4 linked regions of the Drosophila melanogaster genome follow. The protein of the gene in region 1 purifies or fractionates together with the protein of each later gene. This does not show direct contact. Each region holds a gene or a part of one and is shown on either strand. Other genes may lie near its edges. The genes, in order: Parp1, Hrb98DE, Parg and Argk1.

Region 1 (4,791 bases):
TATCAAGAAAAAATGTTCAAATGATCTAAAAAAAAAGTCGAAAATTTGATATTCTTCGAACAACAGATCAATGCGAACTAATTAAATGTGTCTAAATACTTTTGCCACGGCCCAAATCGTTGCCTGTCTAGCTTTCTTATAAGCACAAGGATAATTGAAAAGGTAAACAGCCAAACTTACCCTTCGTGTGTAACTGTAATTGCACTTTTTGTTTTATCATCAATAGTTTACTTATTTATTTGACTGTACTATGAAAAGCCCGGCAGTTTCAAGCTAATGGTGTCTAAATACTTATGCCCACTAGTGTATGTACCTTTCCAGTATAATTTTAACTCAGCTGTTACATTTACGCTCAAATAATCACGACCCAGCCTAAATATAGCGAAAAATAGTTACATTATTTTCCTGCGGCGATACAACCAATGCCCATCGATTAAGGTCGACTTACATATATTAAATAACATTGTTAAATTCACTTGACTTTTCGACAAACTACAGGCGAAGTTATAGTTGATTTCCTCTACAATCTACAATTGTCAAAAAACTTTTGATATGCCCGCTTCACTCGGATCTGCATGTTTAATCGCAACCCAGTTTTATAGTTCCCACAATCACATCGTTCATACGGACATGGACAATTCGAGTCTTATCTTTTAGGGTGGGATCGATTATTTAATTTTTTTAGTGCCGGAAATGTTGCCTTTACCTGATAAATATTTTTTAACAAAGAATATACACTATTGTACCTATATAGTTGAAGGGCATCCCCAACTAAGGAATGACCAAGAAGAGATCAGAATACTTAGTGGATCAAATTACAGTTATCTATTTCAGTTTACAATCTTCAGTATAATCAAGCTTATTTTCTTTAAGAGGGATAACTTAATAATAGCAATGCAGAACAGTTACAGAACAGTTAATAGAAATTCAATGTGAGATTAACTTACGGTATGGCGTTTTTAACTTTCGCTTGATCATCATCTGCTAAGCTCTGAAATCCTGGCATATCTTCACCTGACGCAAACCAGCCAAGCTCAGAGCGCAATTGGGCGAAGCATTCCAAATGATGCCACAAAGGTTGGCCTCCGTACTTCATACCAACTTCAGTATCATAAACAGTTTTACGTAAGCGAACTAGATCCTTGTTTATTTTTTGTTCACATCCACGACACGTCGATCGACTAGATTTTGCATATTCAATCCCAAAGTCTTTTAATGCTAAGTTAAAAGCCTTCGATCGCTTTTTTCCTAATTGTGCGCTTATAACTTCTTGTATATTTTCTAAGTACATTTCAAAATGTTTTTAAATTGATATAGATCAATTTTAAATACTAACCCACAAGATCCGTTAATTCCTTTTGATCGGCAAATCGGAGATTTCCAATGTTTTGTATGTCTCCTACTGAGCTGGGACGCTGGTTTTTAAAAAAGCAGGTTTTATGAAACCAATTCGGAACTTTGGCATCATGAAATGCAGACTAAAAAATAAGAAATACAATAAAATAGTTTCTTTGTCTTTCGTTCGTTTGGTGTAACCGTTTCAATTAAAAAATAATAATAAAACGATTTTTCAAAAGTGTGTGCGTGGCAGTTTTGTGCAATTTTAGGGCTTTAAAGTGGGCGTGGCAAGTCGATAGAAATTTACAGAACTAATAAAAATGAAAAAAAAAAATATCAACACGTTTTTCAAAAGGGTTGGCGTTGCAGTTTTGTGCGGTTTGTGGGCGTTAGAGTTGCCGTGGCAACATGGGTCATGCTGCATCTATGTCTCTAGAATCTGTATGCTAAATCTCAACCTTCTAGATTTTATAGTTCCTGATATCTCGACGTTCATACGGACAGACAGACGGACATGGTATTCTTGATTGGCCTTGTCCTTTTGTATGAAAGCTATGATCTCGAAAACTATAAAAGCTAGTATTCATGTTTCGCTCTGTGAAAGTTTGTTTCAGAACGATCATCACCATGTGAGGACATGGCGAAAATTCAGCTGGTCTTACAATTTTTGCGGCCCCAACCACAGAACTGCAGCAAGCCACTGGCACTCTTAGTACACCCGCACCCACCAACTGGGTGTCTATACCCCCGGGTGTTTTTTGACACTCTACTTTCGGCAATAAAAAATATCCGAGTGTTTCGCCTGCTGCGAAATAACCCTTTGGGTGAGCGACTCACAAGCAACATTTTTATAGGTTGAAGCGTGACGGTAGAAGAAATGAAGGGTCGGTCCCACTGTCGGTCCCGCTGTCGGTCCCACTGTCAGTCCCACTGTTGGTCCGACTGTCAGTCCCGCTGTCGGTCCCACTGTTAATCCCACTGTCGGTCCCACGTCAGTCCCGCTGTCGGTCCCACTGTCGGTCCCGCTGTCAGTCCCACTGTCGGTCCCACCGTCAGTCCCGCTGTCGGTCTCACCGTCAGTCCCGCTGTCGGTCCCACTGTCGGTCCCAATGTCGGACCCACTGTCGGTCCCAATGTCGGTCCCACTGTCAGTACCAATGTCAGTCCCGCTGTCGTTCCCGCTAGTTTCGATTTCACGTGATGTTTGAGGACCTGTTTTCGTTTCTTCGGCCGCACGCATTGCCACACGCACACTGGGCCAGAGAACTGCAGCAAGCCACTGGCACCCTGTGGGTGAGCGACGCAAGTATTTGTGCCCCCACCGCTACACGATTTACCGCTGGCAATTACATGCCGCAGCTGTCGACGACCGATGGGACTAACGGCGAATCGGGATCTTTTAAAGTTTCGTAAATCAGTATCAGTTTAATCAAATTCATTTTCAATCTTTTATCTGCAGACTACTTACGTATGTATGTACCACATAGTAACTTACTTGAACCATGACAGCAATCCGAAGAGTATCTTTAGATATAGTACTTTTACATCCTTTGCAAGTGGCTCGTCCAGTTCTTGCATACTCAGCAAGATAAGGTAATTCAATATCCATATTACACTTTAAAGGAAGTCAATTTCAAGACATTTATTATTTATCGAATTATGTTGGCGATATTTTCCTAAATAATAAAATTGTATATCGATGTTAAAGACTACAAAAATATTATTATAGACGATTTCCAATGATTCTAAAGACCTTGTACAGGAGCTCATTCCGTAATTAAGCTGTATTCTGTTATAAGACGTACGACTGTTAACTATATAACTTTGTAATTGAATTCGGCAACATTAAAATTCTGTGTCGATTATACACCAGCTAGTTTAACAAGAAAGGGTGGTCATTTGGAAGATTAAGAAGGAATGGTAATTATGTTCTTACTGAATAATAACACCGACCGTTTTAATTAAGGTCTGAAACTGAACTCAACAAATTGATATGGATTGATTGACTTTGAATCCTCGGCCTCGAGCTTTATAAATATGGGCTTTGGATTTTGGAGTTCCAATGAAATAAACAGAGCTTTGGAGTTACTAACATTGATTTGTCTTTGCATTTCTCTTGGACTCGAGTTCATTCGCTATTGGATACAAACGCTCTTAGATCCTCACGACTTTGTTTATTGAAATCTTAAAATAAAGTTTTCGATTATCATCCTGTATACGACTTTGGGCTTATTCCAGTCAGGATTGCTTTTGGTTTACTAGTGTTGTTCTTCTATAATAAGAAGCTGTGTGTAGGCATGTGCTTAAGTCTAATGGACTTATGGATATGCCACTCCCCCAACCATTAGTTTTGGCAAAGACACTAGAATAACAAGATGCGTAACGGCCATACATTGGTTTGGCACTATGCAGCCACTTTTTTGGTGACGGCCAAAATTGCTCTCTTTCCGCTCGCTCACGCTGAGAACATAAGAAATCTAAAAATAGAATTTGCTTGCTTGTGTGAGTAAAAACAAGAGACGAGAACGCGTATATGTGTGCGTGTTGTGCTAGAAGACGATTTTCGGGCCGAAATCAATTCTGATCAAAGAAATGAATTTACATTGTACATATTAGGGTAGTTTTTTGCCAATTTCGTAGCAATATGATGAAATAAAATAATTTTTAAAAATTCGCGCCCTTCTTATTATAATTTTAAAATTTTAATTTTAATTTTAAAATTTTTTAATTTTAAAGCTTTTTAAATTCGTTTGTTAAAATCGCCGCTCGAATTAGCTACCGTTTACATATTTATATTTATGTTGATAATTATTTATGTGTAATATGTGTAATAGTCGGTACCCAGGGAACACCACGGGGAGGCCATTACAATTGTAATGGGGTCTTATATTTACGTATATGACCTTCGAGTCGACTTGAAATATTTTAATGTTTAACATTAAAACATTTCCACATTCCCCAATTAAGTTATTTTTCTAACTATTGTTTTTTATTATATACTGCTCGATTTTTCAGTCGTCAGTTATTTAAATAACATACTGAAAAACAACTGAATCTAATGTGCATTTTAAATAATAAAAATGGATCATTATCATATATAAATCATATTAAGTCAAATGACTTAATAAGTATGCTAAATAATTAAAGGAAGTAAAATATAAATTATTATAACTACTTATAACAAAAGGAATACATTACATCGAGAAATAAATATTTCATAAAAATAATACGAAGTAGAAAATACAAATTTGTAAAATAAATAAAAATATGAAAACTGTTTATTGCAAAAGTCACATCAAAGACACTAGAATTATTCTAGTGTCTTTGCTTTGTTCATATCTTGAGGCACGAAGTGCGGACACAAGCACTCAACAATCATTGCCTTATTAATTTTTCACACGCCGCAAGATGAATACTCTAATGACAAATATTCTTATATAAAGTCATTTTTGA
Region 2 (7,729 bases), about 25 Mb from region 1:
TTTTCCTGGTCAAAGGGAAAAGTGATGTCCAGCCGGGATTCGCAGTCTTGGCCTTTATGATTTTTATACTTGTACACAAAGGGCAGCGTGCGAGTGGCAGTAGAGTCCATTTCAGAGGTCCTTAGTCGGTGTTTTAGTTAGTTATAGTCATTAATTCGCAAGTTAACGCCCCCTGCCTAAAAGAAATGCAATTAGTATGACCGTATTGCGACCGCTTAAATATATCGCAGAAAACTTATTCACCACTTAGAGAAGACTCAAACCAACAACAAAGTGACAGACACAGTGCTCATTTATCATGATTTATTATTTTCAGTGGACTAATTAAAATTTAACATTAAATGCAACAAAATGAATGCTTTGAAAATCATTCAACTATATAAAACGGAATTTGCGATTTTACGCCAATCACGTTACATTCGCAACGCCATTATTGTTCAAATACCGTTATTTTCCCCCACTGGTGAAATTTTAATTCAAAATGAAACGAAAATCATTTTGTTTGGTATTCTGAAATTTCTTTATTCAAAGATAGTAATAATGAAAATAAAATGAAGTAATAAATAAAAGTCGTATATTTACGATGGTGCAGAGGGGAAACCGTTCAACATCCATTCCATCCTCAGGTGCGACGAGCCGATTCAGACCACCTGAAAGTTACAACTTTTTCCGGATTTGGGATCTGCGGAGGATTACTTACCCAGAGGGAACCGAAACCCAGCGACCGGAGTTGCTAGCAAACGCGGGCACCTTCCGTGGCTGCATTCAGTAGCGCGGCGGCAGTCTTTCAGCGCTTCGCATACTTTTCGCAGCCAACTGGCAACAGAAATTACAATAATATACATGGTTGTAAATGACATGGTACAGCAGGCGGGGGGCAAATCAAATAAAAGGGGAAAATGATTCCTGTTAAGCGAGTGAAAGGAGAACTCTCGAACGACGTTAATGGCCCGCCCACAACAAATGCTATAGTAAAGTACATATTCTTGGCTGGCTTTTGGACCTGGTCAGACTTGCTGCACCTTGTTACCTCTGCAATACACTCTCATTCTGATCGAGATCCTTTTGCTGATGCTGCTACAGAAATATAGAAAACTACGAGGCTTTGGCTTAGCTATATACTTTTTGTTCTTTCGTCAGAGTTTACATCAATTGCGGGACACTTGCTTATTTTTTTTTTTTGCATCTTGTATTTTTTAGCTACATTAAAATGTAAATTTTGTTAAGTATAATTGCGCTGACTCCTCAGACAGACTGCTTGCTAAAAGGTATAAATTACAATAAAGGTTGTTTGTTGATCGGTTACATCTAAGCAGCGGAAGAGGTTATATCCATGTCGACACTTATTCAAAAATCTAAGTATCTAGATTCCTCCACACACGGTCAGGTTCGCTTAGAACTTGAATAGTAAAATTATTAAGACTAGGGTAGCGTGCGGATGGATGCAGAAGTCGCTCCGCACGCTCTACTCGATTTAATTCTATGAGAACTTAGCCTAGTAAAGTTGTAAAATGTAATACATGTTTTTATATATTTTGTGTTTTCTGCTCTGATTATCAAAAGTTGCCGGCAGCCGATGGACTGGAGAGCTGTCTGCAACCAAAGAAACATATCTCTCGGCTGCCGCCTTGAAGTTTTACATAGCTGATTCGTTTATGACTGGTTGTTTTAAGTAGGTTGGTTGGTTGGTTGCTCGTGTGGTGGAGATACAAATGTTTGGCCTGTCGTCGGCTTTGTGGATCTAATTACAATGTTACTTATATGGGCTGCTACATATGGGTTGCAAATTATAGATTACAATTCTGTGGGTATTGGATAGTTTTCGATGCGCCTCTTGACATTCAATTTATCATCGCTTGCAAAGACAAATTGAATGGAATCCTGGTCACCTTCTGTGTACGTGTACTGCCACTTGCTGTGTTTCTTCTGTTTAGCTCACACACTGCTCTGCACTGCACTGCACTCTGTATTGGTCTGGTCTTGCTTGGTACTGATCTCTCTTTCTGTTCTAATCCAAGACTGAACCAAACTTCTTACGACTTCACTGCACTGCACTGATCCTGATCAATCAATCTGTAATGTTTGGTTTGTGGTGCTCGGAAAACTTCTTAGGACTATGAACGTGCGTTCATACTTCATCATATTGATCATTGAATTGCGTATCGTTTACTTGACTTTGAATTTTGGGATTATACTGAGCGACTTTTACTTTATCACCTATAAAATGTCGATAAATGAGAAACGTTATTTAAAACAATTGGTATGAAAAGGAGTTCTTAATTGGTTGATGGGTTTTTGTTCTCTAAATACTTAAAAGTGTAAATACGTATATAAGTTTGTTGAGTAAGGTGGGTCGGACTGTCTCAGCCGTTTTGCTTTTTAGTCTCAATATGCTTTATAAACTACCAAAAATGCCGATAAGGGCGCTATTATAAAAAAAAAAAAACACACAACATATGTTTGTCAAATCAAGCGAAAGATTAATGGTCATACGGGATAGATAAGCGGTTAGTTATGGCCTGAATTCGCCTTGGACTATGTATATTTTTGTGTTAGTAGTGGTTATTTGGATGTCTCACCTCGTCCGGAATCTCTCTCAATATCTGCGGTTGTTGCCACCGTTATTGAAGCCCTGATTGTTTCCGCCATAGTTGCCTTGATTGCCACCGCCTAAAAGAAAACCCAGGATCGTTAGGAACATATCCAATCGTCTTTCTAGTCTAGTTTCTATACTGGTGGTGACTGTTCATGAAAAAACTGTAACGTGGCTGCGTGTTACGTCGTACTGGGATTATCTTACATACGCATAACATAGCGAAGGCCATCGTCAGTTGATCTCACAGCGTTTAATAAGCTAACTGCCAAACTCTATCGACGCTCTAACAGTTAGGTGTCAGGGTACTGTGTCTTGCTATCTAGTTGTTATCAGTAATGCATCAACAGACGTGCTGTTGCTCACCTGCTTTGAATCCACCACCTCCTTGGTAGGGCTGCATGCGATTGTTGTTGAAGTTGCCGCCACCTCGCTGCGGACCGCCGCCATAGTTCTGCTGGTAGCCTCCAAAATCATTGCCACCATTGTTCCAATTGTTGCCGCCGCCTCCAAAGTTGCCGCCTCCATTGCCATTGTCCCACGGATTGTTATTGCCCCAGCTGTTGTTGCCACCGCCATAACCACCACCGCCGCCGCCGCCACCACCGAAGCTGTTGTTGCCCCAGTTGTCGTTACCCCCGCGGTTGTTGCCCCAGTTGTTGCCACCGTTGTTCTGCAATGCCAATTAACCAGTAATAAGCCTCAAATCGAATTGATGGCGATCAATAAGTTCTTACCCAGTTGCCGCCACCATTCTGGTTGCCGTAGTTTCCACCGCCCATGTTTCCGCGGTTTCCACCGGCACGACCACCCGGACCACCGCGTCCTCCGCCACCTCCCTGTTGGTCATTCTGCTTGGGCAAGGCCTTCTTTACGTCCACCATTTTGCCATTCAGCTGATGCTGCTTTTGCACTGCAAAAATAAAGAGGGAAAGCATGCTATTAGTGGTATTCGAAAATGAACTTCCCTATGTGGTGCATCCGGAGGATAGTGTGCCATATACTCTTTCATCATTGGTGCACAAACACCACCAACAACAACAATATAATACTGGCTGGGATTTCATCTTACAGTCACAAACGCCGCACGAGCACATCGAACATTGCTATGCGGAGCTGGGACTGTGGAATTTTAGCTAAAATTAGGATCGATATCGGATAGTACACATTCACCATTTCGGTGCATTTGATTTGCAGTTGTAACGAGGCTGCGTGTTACACAGAATTGATTTATAATATACATTCGCATCACATAGCTTAGCCGACGCTTAAATTAATCTCACAGCGTTTAAATAAAAACCATACAGGCGACTTTTTCAAGCCCGTCAATTTGTCAGTACTGTGACGTCCACGAAGGGGCTGATCTAGAAACTTTCTGTTTAATCGGTTCGATAATCAAGGTGTGCCTTATACTCTTTCATCGTTGATGCACGAAGAGCACCAACAACAATGATATAATACTGGCTGGAATTTATTCTAACAGTCACAAACGCCGCACGAGCACATCGAACATTGCTGTGCGGAGCTGGGACTGTGGAATCGTAGCTAATTTTAGGAGATATATTCACGCTAAATAACATTCACCATTCTGTGGATTTGTCAGTATATTCAAGTAAGCGAAGGCATTTAGATACTCATTCTTTTCATATAGTTGGTAATTCAATGTGATATTGTGCCTTATACTCTTTCATCGTTGATGCACGAACAGCGCCAACAACACGATATAATATGGGCTGGGTCTTTTATCTTACAGTCACAAACGCCGCATGAGCACATCGAACATTGCTATGCGGAGCTGGGACTGTGTATCGATTTCCATAATAGCAATTAATTGAACTATTGTAACGAGGCTGCGTGTTACACTGAATAGGCGCAATGCTTACATTCGCATAACATAGCTTAGCCGACGCTTTAATTCATCTCACAGCGTTTAAAAAAAAACTACCCTGGTGATGGTTTCAAACCAGTTAATTTGTCAGTACTGTGATATTAGGAAACAGTTTTAGATTCAAGCTATAGTGTGCCATATACTCTTTCATCGTTGATGCACGAAGAGCACCAACAACAATGATATAATACTGGCTGGAATTTATTCTTACAGTCACAAACGCCGCACAAGCACATCGAACATTGCTATGCGGAGCTGGGACTGTGGATATATTGTAATAATTGCAATTTTATCGAAATTTCTTGCTTATAGTGCGCATTCGTTTATCCGACGCTGATGGACATTTACGAGAAGCCCTACAATGTGCCAGAGCTGATTGAGCATATAGATTAGGGGTGGTTGCATGTCATACTTTTTTTCTACACGAACGCCGCGTACACAAATGGGGTTAATATTCGTTTCCTGTGCAGATAATTCAATCTGTATTGTATAAATCTAAGAACATGGCAATGTGATTTTCCTAACAGTCTACTCTCGAAGAGATAAATCATTCTTAAAGGATATTTGATATTGTCTAGATTAGGAAAAGCGTTGTACTTACACACAACTTTGTCCACGGGATCGTAGTCGTCGAACTCGACGAAGGCGAATCCGCGTTTCTTGCCAGTCTCCTTGTCAATGACTATGTTGATGTCGACGATGTTGCCAAAGTGCTGGAAGTAGTCGCGGATGCTCTGCTCATCATGGTCGTCCTTGAGGGCGCCAACAAAGAGTTTCTTTACGGTGGCTCCGGCATTCGGGGAATCAATGTCCTGACGGGGAACGGCGCGCTTGGGCTCCACCACTCGACCGTCGATCTTGTGGGGACGCGACTTTTGGGCCTCATCAATCATGCTCGAGTGGGAATAGGTGATGAATCCGAATCCGCGGGAACGCTTTGTGCGCGGATCCTTCATGACCACCACGTCCACGATGTTGCCCCATTTCTCGAAGTGAGCCTTTAGGTTCTCGTCGGTGGTACGGTAGTCCAAGCCACCGATGAACAGCTTGCGCATATGCTCCGGCTCGGTGATGGAGTCCTGAGGAAAGTCCTAAATTATTGATTTTATCAATGGCCATAACCTCACTTTCCGCCCTTGAGACACATGCGTAATTTTCAAAATGGCGACCGGCAAGGCGAGACACCAGCTTACAGGAAATTTCTAGACCCTTAATATCCACTACTTACATCATCATGGCCATTGGAGTTGCCGTTCTGGTTCTGGTTCGAGTTCACCATTTTACTAATGCAAAAGTTGAACAACTTCTAATCTAACTATTTTTTTTGCTATTGCAAATGGAGAAAGTCCCCTGACACACGAGACGAATGAAAAAACTGAATACAGTGTGACCGTTTCTACAACCCGATTAAACCCAGCACCTATTCGATACTACCTAGAACGATAACGATAAGTTGACAGACACCCTTGTCAATACAATACTTTTACAATATCTGCCCTGTTTCTTTTCACCATGCCTTAAAAAATGTGTGTAACATGTGTATTCTTGATCACGCCTTTTGCACTAAAAAGCTAAAAGAGAAACCAATACCGACAGCATCGTACTCCCTAGCACTATTAAGATACAACTACTGTTAGTCTTAGTCTTAAGTAACAAAACCGCAACGAAATGCTTTAGCACATCAACTTTAGTTGCCGCATGGGTAAAAGCGCGTTGATCACCAAAATATATATATATTGGGATTATGGCCGAACTGAGTTTTTTCCCTGTGCAGTCGCGGTTTTGTGTGCTACTTACATCTTGCTCCTCATTTTGACCATTGTTCCAGTTGTCGTGACCACCCATTTCGAAGAACTTATATTTAAATATCTTTACTGCTCTGATATATATCTCAGCAATACTATAGAAATAACGACACTGGGAACGAAAGACGCTCACTGTAGCACCCCTTCCCTAAAACTGAAAATATATTTTCCTGTGGAAAGGAAAGCCGTAGACAGACCTTACAAAAATACTAGACCTAAATAAAAGCAAAGGTATTTGGTTACACTAATCGGTTGTTGCTTCCACTTGTTTCCACTGAAAATCTATGTGGGTCAAATTAGCGTCTATGGCAGAACGGTGAAATATGGAAAATGAGAATCTTATTTATTTATTTAATTTTTCGCTATTTATAGGTAAATTCCAAAAAAAATACAAATGCAAAAATCTTAATAAATCGAACTATTTAAGAGATCTAACTATCTATGTACGACTAAAGTTTATAGGACTCAGAAAGTATATAAAATATGCAATAAAAAAATCGGCTAGCTACTTTTCAAGGAATATCTCCACTCGCAGAGCATATTCCAAAATGCACGCTGGCCAGAAAAATGATGTGTTAAATTACTCGGCTCCGCCGTCGCCGCTAACTCCACGATGCTAATTTAACGCATTTTTTGTAGCTATTTTCAAGATGTAGCTACATATTTAGCGGAATATTCGAAAGCTTTTTGTGGTATTTTTCGGCGCACCCGCAGCAGCCACACTGCCGCACACGTAAGGAAATAAGTTTTCTAATTCCTTGATTTCAAAAATGCCGAAAAAGAAGACTGGGCAGCGTAAGAAGGCCGAGAAGCAGAAGCTTCGCCTCAAGGAGATCCGCAGCAGAGAGGTGCCTCTTGCGGATTTGCCCTGCAATGCACCAATGGAGTGCGACAAGTGCGAGAAGAAGCAGAAGTCGAGAGCCTTCTGCTATTTCTGCCAGAGCATTCAGAGATTACCCATTTGCGCCCAGTGCGGGAAAATCAAGTGCATGCTAAAGACCGGCGACTGCGTGGTCAAACATCCGGGCGTCTACACCACGGGCCTCGGAATGGTGGGCGCCATCTGCGACTTCTGCGAGGCTTGGGTTTGCCACGGACGCAAGTGTCTCCAAAACCACGCCTGCACGTGTCCGCTGCAGAATGCGACCTGCCTGGAGTGCGAACGCGGTGTCTGGGAGCACGGTGGGCGCATCTTCAAGTGCTCCTTCTGCAACGGATTCCTGTGCGAGGACGATCAGTTCGAGCACCAGGCCAGCTGTCAGGTGGGTAACCAAAAATACTCATTAAGCTTGTTCCGAACTTCATTTTGAGATTCATATGACGCCTTTTGGTAATGCAATCCATTCGGTTCCAGGTGCTGGAGTCGGAGAACTACAAGTGTCAATCGTGCAACAAGCTGGGTCAATACTCCTGCCTGCGCTGCAAGACCTGTTACTGCGAGGA
Region 3 (4,921 bases), on another chromosome or scaffold:
TAAAATCTGTATATTAATTAATAAAGAACAGAAATTTCCACAAATATGTAAATTGAATTTTCAAATTGGTTTGGTTCCCTCGTTTTGTTTAATTTCTGAAACTGACTCATGGAAGTGCAGTCTTCTGCTTCTTTCAGCTGTTGATTAGTATAAGTTCATGCTTTTGAGGTGACCTTGAAAAGTTTACTAACATCGCGTTTTCGTCGCTCGCTTTTTCCAAGCGATTATTCGGCTCTATGCATTTTTGTTGTTGCTTGTTTTTTTTGCCAACCCCCGAAACGCCACCCCCGATTATTCCTAGTATTTTCGCTGACGCAAATGAGAAAAGAGAAAGCTCTACATGTACAGTGCAGACTCCCATTGCGTTAAAGTTCATCAACGAAATCTAAATGCTCGGGATTTACACCTTTTTCTGAAAATTTATTTAGTAAAATAAATTTCACTTAATATCTGGTCTCTTTCTCTCTCTATCTCTTTATGTGAAAATCGATCGTTTAACTTATTGAGAGTTGACAGTACTTTTTTCGAGTATTTCTAGGTTATGGTCAAGGCGAAATCTAAGCAAATTTGAAGGCTACGCTCAGGTACGAAGAGCGATGAAGAGAAACGCCTCTTCTTTGTAGAATTCTACTGATAATTCGATTTTTGTTTTTGTGTTTTTTTTTTTTGCTTCTCCTTGCAAAGCTTTTTCGTTTGTTTACGCAAAAAGGAGAGAAAGAGATGGTGCAAACAAATTTCGCGGAGAGATAAAGGTGTGTTGAACTTTAGCAAAAGTACATTTCATAAATTATATTTATTTTGGTTTTTAGCTAGCTGTGAATTTGCTTTTGCGTTTTCCTCAGATGCAAGTGTGTGTGCAAATTATGTATGACCTTTTTTGTATTGTTTTTGCGACGCTTTCAAAACAAACAACTGCGCTCTCTCTCTCTCCCTCTCTCGCTCTCTTGTGTCCATTCTCAGAGTCTTTGCACGTGTATGCAGCGGTTTCTCTTCCTCTTTTCAACACGTAAGCTTGAGCAAAATACCACAATCACATAAATATATACATAGGTGCGAGTGACAGTGCCACATTAAGGGTTAAAAACTGAAAAAATTTGATTTGACCACTGACGTCAACGAAATAACATTTTCTTGCCAAACGTGATTATAAAAACATAAAACAGCAATTACTTTCCGCCGCTTCTTACCTTTTTGAGTATTAAATACATTTATAAAAGTTTCGCAGACGCCTTTAACTTGATTTTCCTTGGTAATATGCACTATTATTTTTACCGCACGAAGGACAGGAAAAAATCCTTTCACTTAACGTAAAACTTGGCGCTCGTTATGATAGTTTTACACTTTAAAAAAAAATTAGAGAAAATAGTTGACAAATTGCTGGAAGATTTGTTTTTTTTTTCTTTTTGTTTGTTGTTGTTCCTTCGGCGGTTATATTTGCAATTCGCATTGCAACGGACACAGTGTTGGTATTTCTCGTGCTGGTATTTAAATACTAGCGACAATGAGAGGTAAAATACCACATGTAATGGTCACACTTTCGCCCGCCGAATTCAAGGCAATGCAATTTTGAATTTGTTATTGATTCATTCTCAAACGAATACCAACATATATTTGAATATATTTCGATATATAAACGCTTCAATTCACTACGCTTCAATCGAAGTGTGTGGTATTTATAAAGTGCGATATTCATCACAGCTATCGCTCATCCCCAAAACACCGGTATGCAAGAATTCAGGTCACACTTGATTTTTCCGATATTCCAAAAGGTTTACCAATCTACGGCAAATCGCCGCAGAGCAAGTGCATCCGTGCTGACCAATCGACTCGGCAAGGCTTTGTGCTTAAACTGCGCCAGGATGTCGAAGTCGCCGGATGGCGGGATTTCCGAAATAGAAACGGAGGAGGAGCCGGAAAATCTGGCGAACTCCCTAGATGATTCGTGGCGTGGAGTTTCCATGGAGGCTATACATCGTAATCGGCAGCCTTTCGAATTGGAGAATTTGCCACCAGTGACTGCCGGCAATCTCCACCGGGTTATGTACCAGCTGCCAATTCGTGAAACACCGCCACGCCCCTACAAATCACCGGGAAAGTGGGACTCCGAGCATGTGCGTCTGCCCTGTGCGCCCGAGTCGAAATATCCGAGGGAGAATCCGGATGGCAGCACCACCATCGATTTTCGCTGGGAAATGATCGAACGAGCCCTTCTGCAGCCCATAAAGACGTGTGAGGAACTGCAGGCGGCGATAATATCATATAATACCACCTATAGGGATCAGTGGCACTTTCGTGCCCTTCATCAACTTCTCGACGAGGAACTGGACGAGAGCGAAACACGGGTTTTCTTCGAGGATCTATTGCCGCGCATTATCCGATTGGCATTGCGGCTACCGGACTTGATTCAATCGCCAGTTCCGCTGCTCAAGCACCACAAGAACGCCTCATTGAGCCTGAGCCAACAGCAGATCTCCTGCCTGTTGGCCAATGCCTTCCTGTGCACCTTTCCCCGGAGAAACACCCTCAAGAGGAAGTCCGAGTACAGCACTTTTCCAGACATCAACTTTAACAGGTGAGCGTCCACCAGATTCGTATATCTTCAGTCGAAGTATGTTAAATATATTCGATTCCATCAAAAGGCTTTACCAATCGACGGGACCGGCAGTTCTGGAGAAGCTTAAATGCATTATGCACTATTTTCGTCGCGTGTGTCCCACAGAGCGGGATGCCAGCAATGTGCCCACCGGTGTGGTAACCTTTGTTCGTCGGAGCGGATTGCCGGAACATCTGATCGACTGGAGCCAAAGTGCGGCGCCGTTGGGTGATGTGCCATTGCACGTGGATGCCGAGGGAACAATCGAGGATGAGGGCATTGGACTGCTGCAAGTAGACTTTGCCAACAAATATTTGGGTGGCGGTGTCTTGGGACATGGCTGCGTTCAGGAGGAGATACGCTTTGTTATCTGTCCGGAGCTATTGGTGGGTAAACTCTTTACGGAGTGTCTGCGACCATTCGAGGCCCTGGTGATGTTGGGCGCCGAAAGGTATAGTAACTATACGGGATATGCCGGAAGCTTCGAGTGGTCCGGCAACTTTGAGGATTCAACGCCAAGAGATAGCTCAGGTCGTCGACAAACGGCCATTGTGGCAATCGATGCCCTACATTTTGCCCAGTCACATCATCAATATCGCGAGGATCTCATGGAAAGGGAGCTGAACAAGGCGTACATTGGATTTGTTCACTGGATGGTGACGCCGCCACCGGGTGTGGCAACTGGTAACTGGGGTTGCGGCGCATTCGGCGGTGACTCCTATCTGAAAGCCCTGCTGCAACTTATGGTCTGCGCCCAGTTGGGCAGACCTTTGGCCTACTATACCTTTGGAAATGTGGAGTTTAGGGATGATTTTCATGAAATGTGGCTGTTGTTTCGAAATGACGGGACTACGGTGCAGCAGCTTTGGAGTATTTTAAGGTCGTACAGTAGGCTTATTAAGGAGAAGAGCTCCAAGGAGCCGCGTGAGAATAAGGCATCCAAAAAGAAGCTATATGATTTTATTAAAGAGGAACTTAAGAAGGTCAGAGATGTGCCCGGAGAGGGAGCATCCGCCGAAGCTGGAAGCTCTAGAGTAGCTGGATTAGGCGAAGGAAAATCAGAAACATCAGCGAAATCCTCGCCAGAACTCAACAAGCAACCCGCCCGACCGCAAATCACCATAACGCAACAAAGTACCGATCTATTGCCCGCGCAATTATCGCAAGATAACTCAAATTCTTCGGAAGATCAGGCCCTTCTTATGCTGTCGGACGATGAGGAGGCCAATGCCATGATGGAGGCCGCTAGTCTGGAGGCTAAAAGCAGCGTAGAAATAAGCAACAGCAGCACAACGTCCAAAACGAGCAGTACAGCCACGAAATCAATGGGTTCAGGTGGCCGCCAGTTGAGCCTGCTCGAGATGCTGGACACCCATTATGAAAAGGGTTCGGCCTCGAAGAGGCCACGAAAATCACCCAACTGCAGCAAGGCTGAGGGTTCAGCAAAGAGTCGTAAGGAGATCGATGTGACCGACAAGGACGAAAAGGACGATATTGTTGACTAGGTGATATTGCACTACAGGATTGTTACTGCCCCCAAAATTGAAGAGGTATAAAATGTATTGTAGATAACTTTAAGGACATATTTAGGGCATTTTAAAGTAGGATCATTGTAAGTCGAATAAAGTGAAATTTTTTTTTTTTTTTTAATTATACTATTCTAATCTGCAAAGACAATTTTACTGTTAAATTTGTATAACATTGATTGATTAATATAATTTGTTATATCATGCAAATCTAGCTTTTATTATGCGAAATTTGTAGTTAAAGCCAGTAAAGTTTCTTTTTATTTAACCGAAACCTTTTGTTTATTTTATTTGACCACAACAAGAACATCAACAACAACAACCACGAAAAAAAAAGCGAATATATATTTGTTTGTTCGTATATATATATATATATCTAAGCAGATCCAACGTCGATGGCCAATCAGTAGTGATTGCGTCGCTTGTTGGATGGACAATACTCGGCGTATTCCTCCCAGGTGCAGCCCGCCTTGGTGCAGCATTCGTTCGATATCGATGGAGTGTTTCCATCCGATCGACGACTTCGCAGAAACATGTTGGCATAGTTCACGTGCAGCCAGGTGGAGCCATCAGCTGGAAAGACAGCAGGTGGTATCATATCGATATCAATGGATCTATAGCATAGATGTACATGTGTACATCGCTTGAAATTCCAATCGTCTTTGGTTGGAATGGATTTCGATTCAACAACTTACGTTCCGTGGTTGTCTTCTTGATCCAAGCCTCATCATTGCCCGTCCTCTTTTTGTTGCGCCGTGTCAGTCGGTAAATGTCCTTCTCGCAGGCCCAATATAGCTGGCGG
Region 4 (4,887 bases), on another chromosome or scaffold:
AGTTATAAGAGCAAAAGTGAAGAAAGCTGTGATACAACAAGATCCAACAAAAAGGGCAAACGACAACCGACAACACACAAAGATAACACCAACACATTAAACTACAAAAACAACAGACAAGCCAATTCGAAACGTGTGCGACCAACAAAAGTATGTTAACAACCTTTCCGGAACTAAGAACCAGTATAAGTACCGACCGGACCATCTGAAATGAAATGGCCAACGAGAAGAATTCAAAATGAACTATAGGAGATCGGATCAGATCCAGTAGTAGCTAGCTTAGCGGGTTAACGAAGGACGAACGCGGGGGAACCAAAGTTTTGAACCGAAGTGTTTGAGTGAATCAACAGCGTGCGGAATTAGATTGATATTCCAGTCAGGATGAAAAGTGAAGATGAGAATGATTCAAATGTTAAATTATATATCGATATGTAGTAAAATAATACACATACAAAATGCACATAGCTTAAAATATATGAAAGCAAGCGTTTTATTCAAAGTCAATTTCCATTTGATTTGCAATGATTATGTTTTGTGCAAGATTTTAAAGCTTAATCAACCGAGGCCAACAGCAGTTTGTGTGGCATATGCAATATCATTACAATGTAAGACAACCAAGATATATAAACCAATTAAAGCGTAGCAAACAAAATGCATTCAATTGAAAAACCAATAAAAAATGTTTGAAACTTAAATCAAAATTGTGCTCCTAATTATTTACGGAAGGGGCTCGAAAGTTATCCTTTTCAAGTGCTTTAATCTTTATTTTCGTTGCATACTTCATGGGTTGTGTTATACAATATTTAGTGCTGTAGGCCGAAGGTAGCCGATTAAAAGTACATAATTCGTGATAATAAAAACTTTTTGTCAACAAAAACAGAACACCCACACTCGCAGGAACTTCCGCTGAGCAACGCAAGCGCTCCAGGATGTTTTCGAGCTTTTCTCAGTCCTTGAACTTTTGACCTTGTTTCTGGTCGCCTTTCTCGCTGCCGCGGTTATGTAAGCAGCTGTACGTATCATTATGCAACCTGGTCCACGGGATTCACGGACTCTGTGCGCTTGCCATTGCATCTTTGCCGTTGCAGTGGCTCTCAAACTGCAGAGTCTTCGGCGAGCGATAAGACCCCAATCATCATCACCCAGGCCAATTAAGTGGGCTTTGCAAAATAGATAGCGCTGTTGAATGAATGACTGAACAGTACGCTCGAGTTTATTATCTGGATTTATTTGCCCACGACAGACAACCGGCGAAAGGCGTCAGCAGCGCTTTTTCGACCAAATTTGATAGTTTTGGCCTGGGCCAAACGCTGCAGTAAGCAAAATAAATAGTAAACATTGAACTGATAGTGCCAATTGGAAAAGTGACTCGTCCAGTGCCCAAAAACTGTTTCCGAAAATTCTTTTCTTTTATTGATTAGGCAGCCTTTTGACCAGGTTCAACGCGATTATTGACACATAGCGGTGGCATAGCGTAAGCCTATGAGTAACATTCCGAATCGGAGAGTACACGGAAATAAATATTGAAATCGTGCACAGAGAAAAATAATTAATTAGTTACAGAAAATTCATAGATTTACTATTAGTTATTACTACATTGAAATATCTACATTTAATTATTTGCTAGTGTCCTCTAATAAATATGTATATCCTTTATAGTAGTTAACTCTGAACCCTCTCTGTTGGAATCTGATTAAAGTCTTCTAAGTTTTTTTCGGGTGTACCTGGCACAGAACCCGTGGGTTCGTTGGGAAACGAATCTCGTGAGAAAAGCTTCGTCGCAAGTGCAGCCACAGCTAGGAAACATTGGCGTCGGCGCTCTCCGTGCTCCCCATTCTCTTTGGGGCTCTCTCAGTTGGATGCCGTCGTAGCCGTAGTCTCGTCGCTTTTGCCGCCAGTAGAGCAGTCGATTTTCGCACGGAGCACGACAGTCGAAAAAAACTTGAAAGAAGCATTCAACAGCAGAAGAGTGCCAGTCGAGAGAAAATTAATTTTGTACCTTTACTCAAAATCAAACAACACACAATCGAGACCAGTCCTCGATATTTGACCAGCTGTGAAGCATTTAAACGAAACGAACCTTTTGATATACGAAAAAATCGAACGGAAAACCCTCCGGAAAAGCACTTGCAACTTTTTCTAGTCGTTTTATTATCCAACACAGGCACAAAAGGTGAGTGCACGCAGAAGGGGTCATGCTGCAAGTCCCCAGTTGTTTGTTATGTGTGGCATGCTGCAACAGTGAATGAGTGTTATGGGAATGAGTGTTCTTAGGCACCACCACCCACCCATTTTCCACGCCCCAGCCACCCACTCATACGTTTGCCGTGCGATGTGACGTAACTGTCAGAGTCTGAGTGTGCTATTACCATCGCAGATTGCTCATACGCCGCGTGTGCAAAAGAAAACAAACGCAGACGGAGCTTCATGGTGAATTTTGCTTGCCTTTGCTCAAATCCGAGGGATAAACAAAGCTCAGGGGACTGCAAACAGTGCGCAAAATAATCATATTTAATTGATCGATGGCAGCACTATCTAAATTTAGAACCCTTTCGACCATTGGGCGCCATCCGGTGCACAAAAAGTTCCCCTTTTTCCGAATTGATCTGCAGTGCACAGAGGAAAATTTGCAATTTGTTTGCTTGTGAGAATACATATTAAATGTTATGACATATCTTAAAAATAAACTTTGCAAACCAAATACTAGGCAGGTGCCTCAAATATTTCATATAAAGAAACTTTCATTTATAACTTTTTAATTGAGGCAAACTTTAATAATGTTGGCGTTAGTAGGCTTCAATTGGGGAGGAGTTTAAATAAGAAATTCAGAAATTCAGAAATCAAATTTATGACAAAACATTTTCATTTTCCCATTTATGAGGTTTTTTCTGTGTACTGTTTCCCATCTCTGGCCGTTTGCCCAAAAGTCTCGACTTCACGTGCCTCGGCGCTCAGCGTTCTGCGAATTTGGCATTCTGCATTTTGCATTTGCAAACCCATGCGCGCTTTTGTTTATAAATAAACCTTGAATAATGCCGGCATATATTCACTGCTGTCTTTTCGCCTGTTCAACTGTTTTTTTATCTGTGTGCCTTGGGTCTTAATTGAGCTCTGGCTCTCTGGAACTTACTTTTCTGATGAGCGCCTCGCTCGATTGAGTTTTTTTTTTTTGCATTGCTTGACGGCGACGTCATTTGTTGCGCTTTTCGAGGTCGCTGGGTGAATCAGATTCAGTGCCAGTCCAACAAGTGCATGTGGTGTGGAAATTGCCATTTATAGTCCAATTAATTCGTATACATTAGCGGTCAAATTGCTTTGAAAATCACTTAACTATTTACTCATTCGATCTTCTCTCAATTTCAGCTAATACAAAATGTTCGCTTTGTGGTATTTAACTTTTGCTGTCGATGAAATACGGTAAGTGCAAAAGGGGTTTTCCACAGTTTGGCAAGCACTGCTGTGCCCCCCACAGGGCGGATGAACGTTTTGTGTTGCCTACTTTTCGGCTGGGTAGTGTTAATGGTGAATTGTAGTTTGGGGGCGTAATGAGATCCTTTTTGGAGTTAAGCTTAAAAATATTCTGCAATTCAGAAAAAGGTCTAAGTACGTTTTAAATGAAAAGTTTCTGGTATGTGATTCGAGCTTTGGGGGATTGGGTAATACAAATAAATTTACTGGCTTTTAATGGTTATGCAATGCTAATAACAACACCTTCACCAAGCAAAGCTACTTTCTTGCATTTCATAAATCTTGGCGATAACAGTAGTCGCACTTTTGGGACGCAATCATTGCAAACCCGATAATCTTATCGCTATCAGTTGTTGAATTAGACCAATTTAGCTCTACGTTTCCGTGATCGTTATGGTTCGAAGGTGCTAATGCGACTGTGTGTATAATTTTCCTGCATTTGGCAAGAAAGTTAGTCACCGAGCGGTGTCACATGATGAACTATCTGTCCGTTTTCCCATCTCCCACTCCCCCGATCTCGTCGAATACCCCAGCCCATAACAACCGGCTTTTGTGGCTCTAACTCTCATTCGTGATAAGTGCAATCGGCTGATCGCACACATTCAAACATTCTCTGATTTGCACATGTGCAAAACAAAATTCGCATTTTTTTGGCAAAAAAATAAAGAAAAAAGCGTCCAGTTGTTATCTGCCGGCAATTAGCGTAATAACAAAAGTGATAATTGAAGTTTGGAGCGGTATTAGTTTTTTTCGTTCTCATCCATACAGCCGGCATTTGGGGCCGGTATTTTGCCGATTTGCCGATTTTATGCCGGGTGGAGCTCGTTTGTTTGCTTATCAATTTGCCGCACGAGTTTTTCGTCAGCTATTGCCGTTTTGGCCTACGTGACAAGAGAAATGACGACGCCGGCCCAAAGAAATGGGGGAGTGGAGAAAGTAATTTCGTAACTGGGGAAATGGGTGGGAAATAAGAAATTGTGGTTACAGTTCTAAATTACTGCCATTTGTGGGCATTAAAGCACTGAAACATTTGCGTCTAAGCAACACGCCCACCAATAGGCTAACGCCTTTTGGCAAAGTACAATAAATAACTGGCTCTATTTTGTTTTCTTATCTATAGGGCATTATAAAAGAACTATGATTAACTCTATAACAAAAGCTAGAAAGTGCAGTATTTTCATACTTTTCAAATTTAAATCAATTTCAAAAACCAGGGCTGCCTTAGATCCTTCCAGTGTGACTCTACGAACTACTAAAAGGCTTCATTTACTTTTAATTATATTAAAATGCATATGATTTACTGCAATTACTGCATATTGAAAAATCGTTATTTGCGACTATATTTGTTTTCAAATATTTATCGAAATGTTATGGAGTATAGGGATACACCAATGATTTACAAGGGCTGTCAAAGTTTTC

The links.
Region 2: the proteins of Parp1 (region 1) and Hrb98DE purify together in Drosophila melanogaster (affinity purification with western blotting; 2 studies listed by BioGRID, with this or other methods). This does not show direct contact.
Region 3: the proteins of Parp1 (region 1) and Parg purify together in Drosophila melanogaster (affinity purification with mass spectrometry, with the first as the bait; one study listed by BioGRID). This does not show direct contact.
Region 4: the proteins of Parp1 (region 1) and Argk1 purify together in Drosophila melanogaster (affinity purification with mass spectrometry, with the first as the bait; one study listed by BioGRID). This does not show direct contact.

What each region holds. Positions count from the first base shown.
Region 1 is NT_033777.3:3,584,033-3,588,823, forward strand, and holds the start of Parp1 (Poly-(ADP-ribose) polymerase 1), read right to left. Parts: upstream 3,023-4,791; 5' UTR 2,948-3,022; coding exon 2,834-2,947; intron 1,479-2,833; coding exon 1,337-1,478; intron 1,282-1,336; coding exon 948-1,281; intron 1-947. UniProt on the Drosophila melanogaster protein: Poly-ADP-ribosyltransferase that mediates poly-ADP-ribosylation of proteins and plays a key role in DNA repair.
Region 2 is NT_033777.3:28,598,549-28,606,277, reverse strand, and holds Hrb98DE (heterogeneous nuclear ribonucleoprotein at 98DE), read right to left. Parts: upstream 5,872-7,729; 5' UTR 5,761-5,871; coding exon 5,710-5,760; intron 5,573-5,709; coding exon 5,083-5,572; intron 4,750-5,082; exon of another isoform or gene 4,610-4,749; intron 4,581-4,609; exon of another isoform or gene 4,431-4,580; intron 4,402-4,430; exon of another isoform or gene 4,262-4,401; intron 4,132-4,261; exon of another isoform or gene 3,992-4,131; intron 3,939-3,991; exon of another isoform or gene 3,789-3,938; intron 3,723-3,788; exon of another isoform or gene 3,583-3,722; intron 3,507-3,582; coding exon 3,331-3,506; intron 3,267-3,330; coding exon 2,960-3,266; intron 2,908-2,959; exon of another isoform or gene 2,756-2,907; intron 2,671-2,755; coding exon 2,597-2,670; 3' UTR 2,580-2,596; intron 2,218-2,579; exon of another isoform or gene 1,183-2,217; intron 817-1,182; 3' UTR 501-816; downstream 1-500. Other genes in the region: CG9986 (uncharacterized protein), read right to left, coding at 1-110; Noa36, read left to right, coding at 7,057-7,548, 7,641-7,729. UniProt on the Drosophila melanogaster protein: This protein is a component of ribonucleosomes.
Region 3 is NC_004354.4:3,668,306-3,673,226, reverse strand, and holds Parg (Poly(ADP-ribose) glycohydrolase), read left to right. Parts: upstream 1-1,724; 5' UTR 1,725-1,859; coding exon 1,860-2,572; intron 2,573-2,639; coding exon 2,640-4,098; 3' UTR 4,099-4,390; downstream 4,391-4,921. Other genes in the region: Ilp7 (Insulin-like peptide 7), read right to left, coding at 4,523-4,692, 4,815-4,921.
Region 4 is NT_037436.4:9,062,994-9,067,880, reverse strand, and holds the start of Argk1 (arginine kinase 1), read left to right. Parts: upstream 1-1,853; 5' UTR 1,854-2,173; intron 2,174-3,363; 5' UTR 3,364-3,373; coding exon 3,374-3,417; intron 3,418-4,887.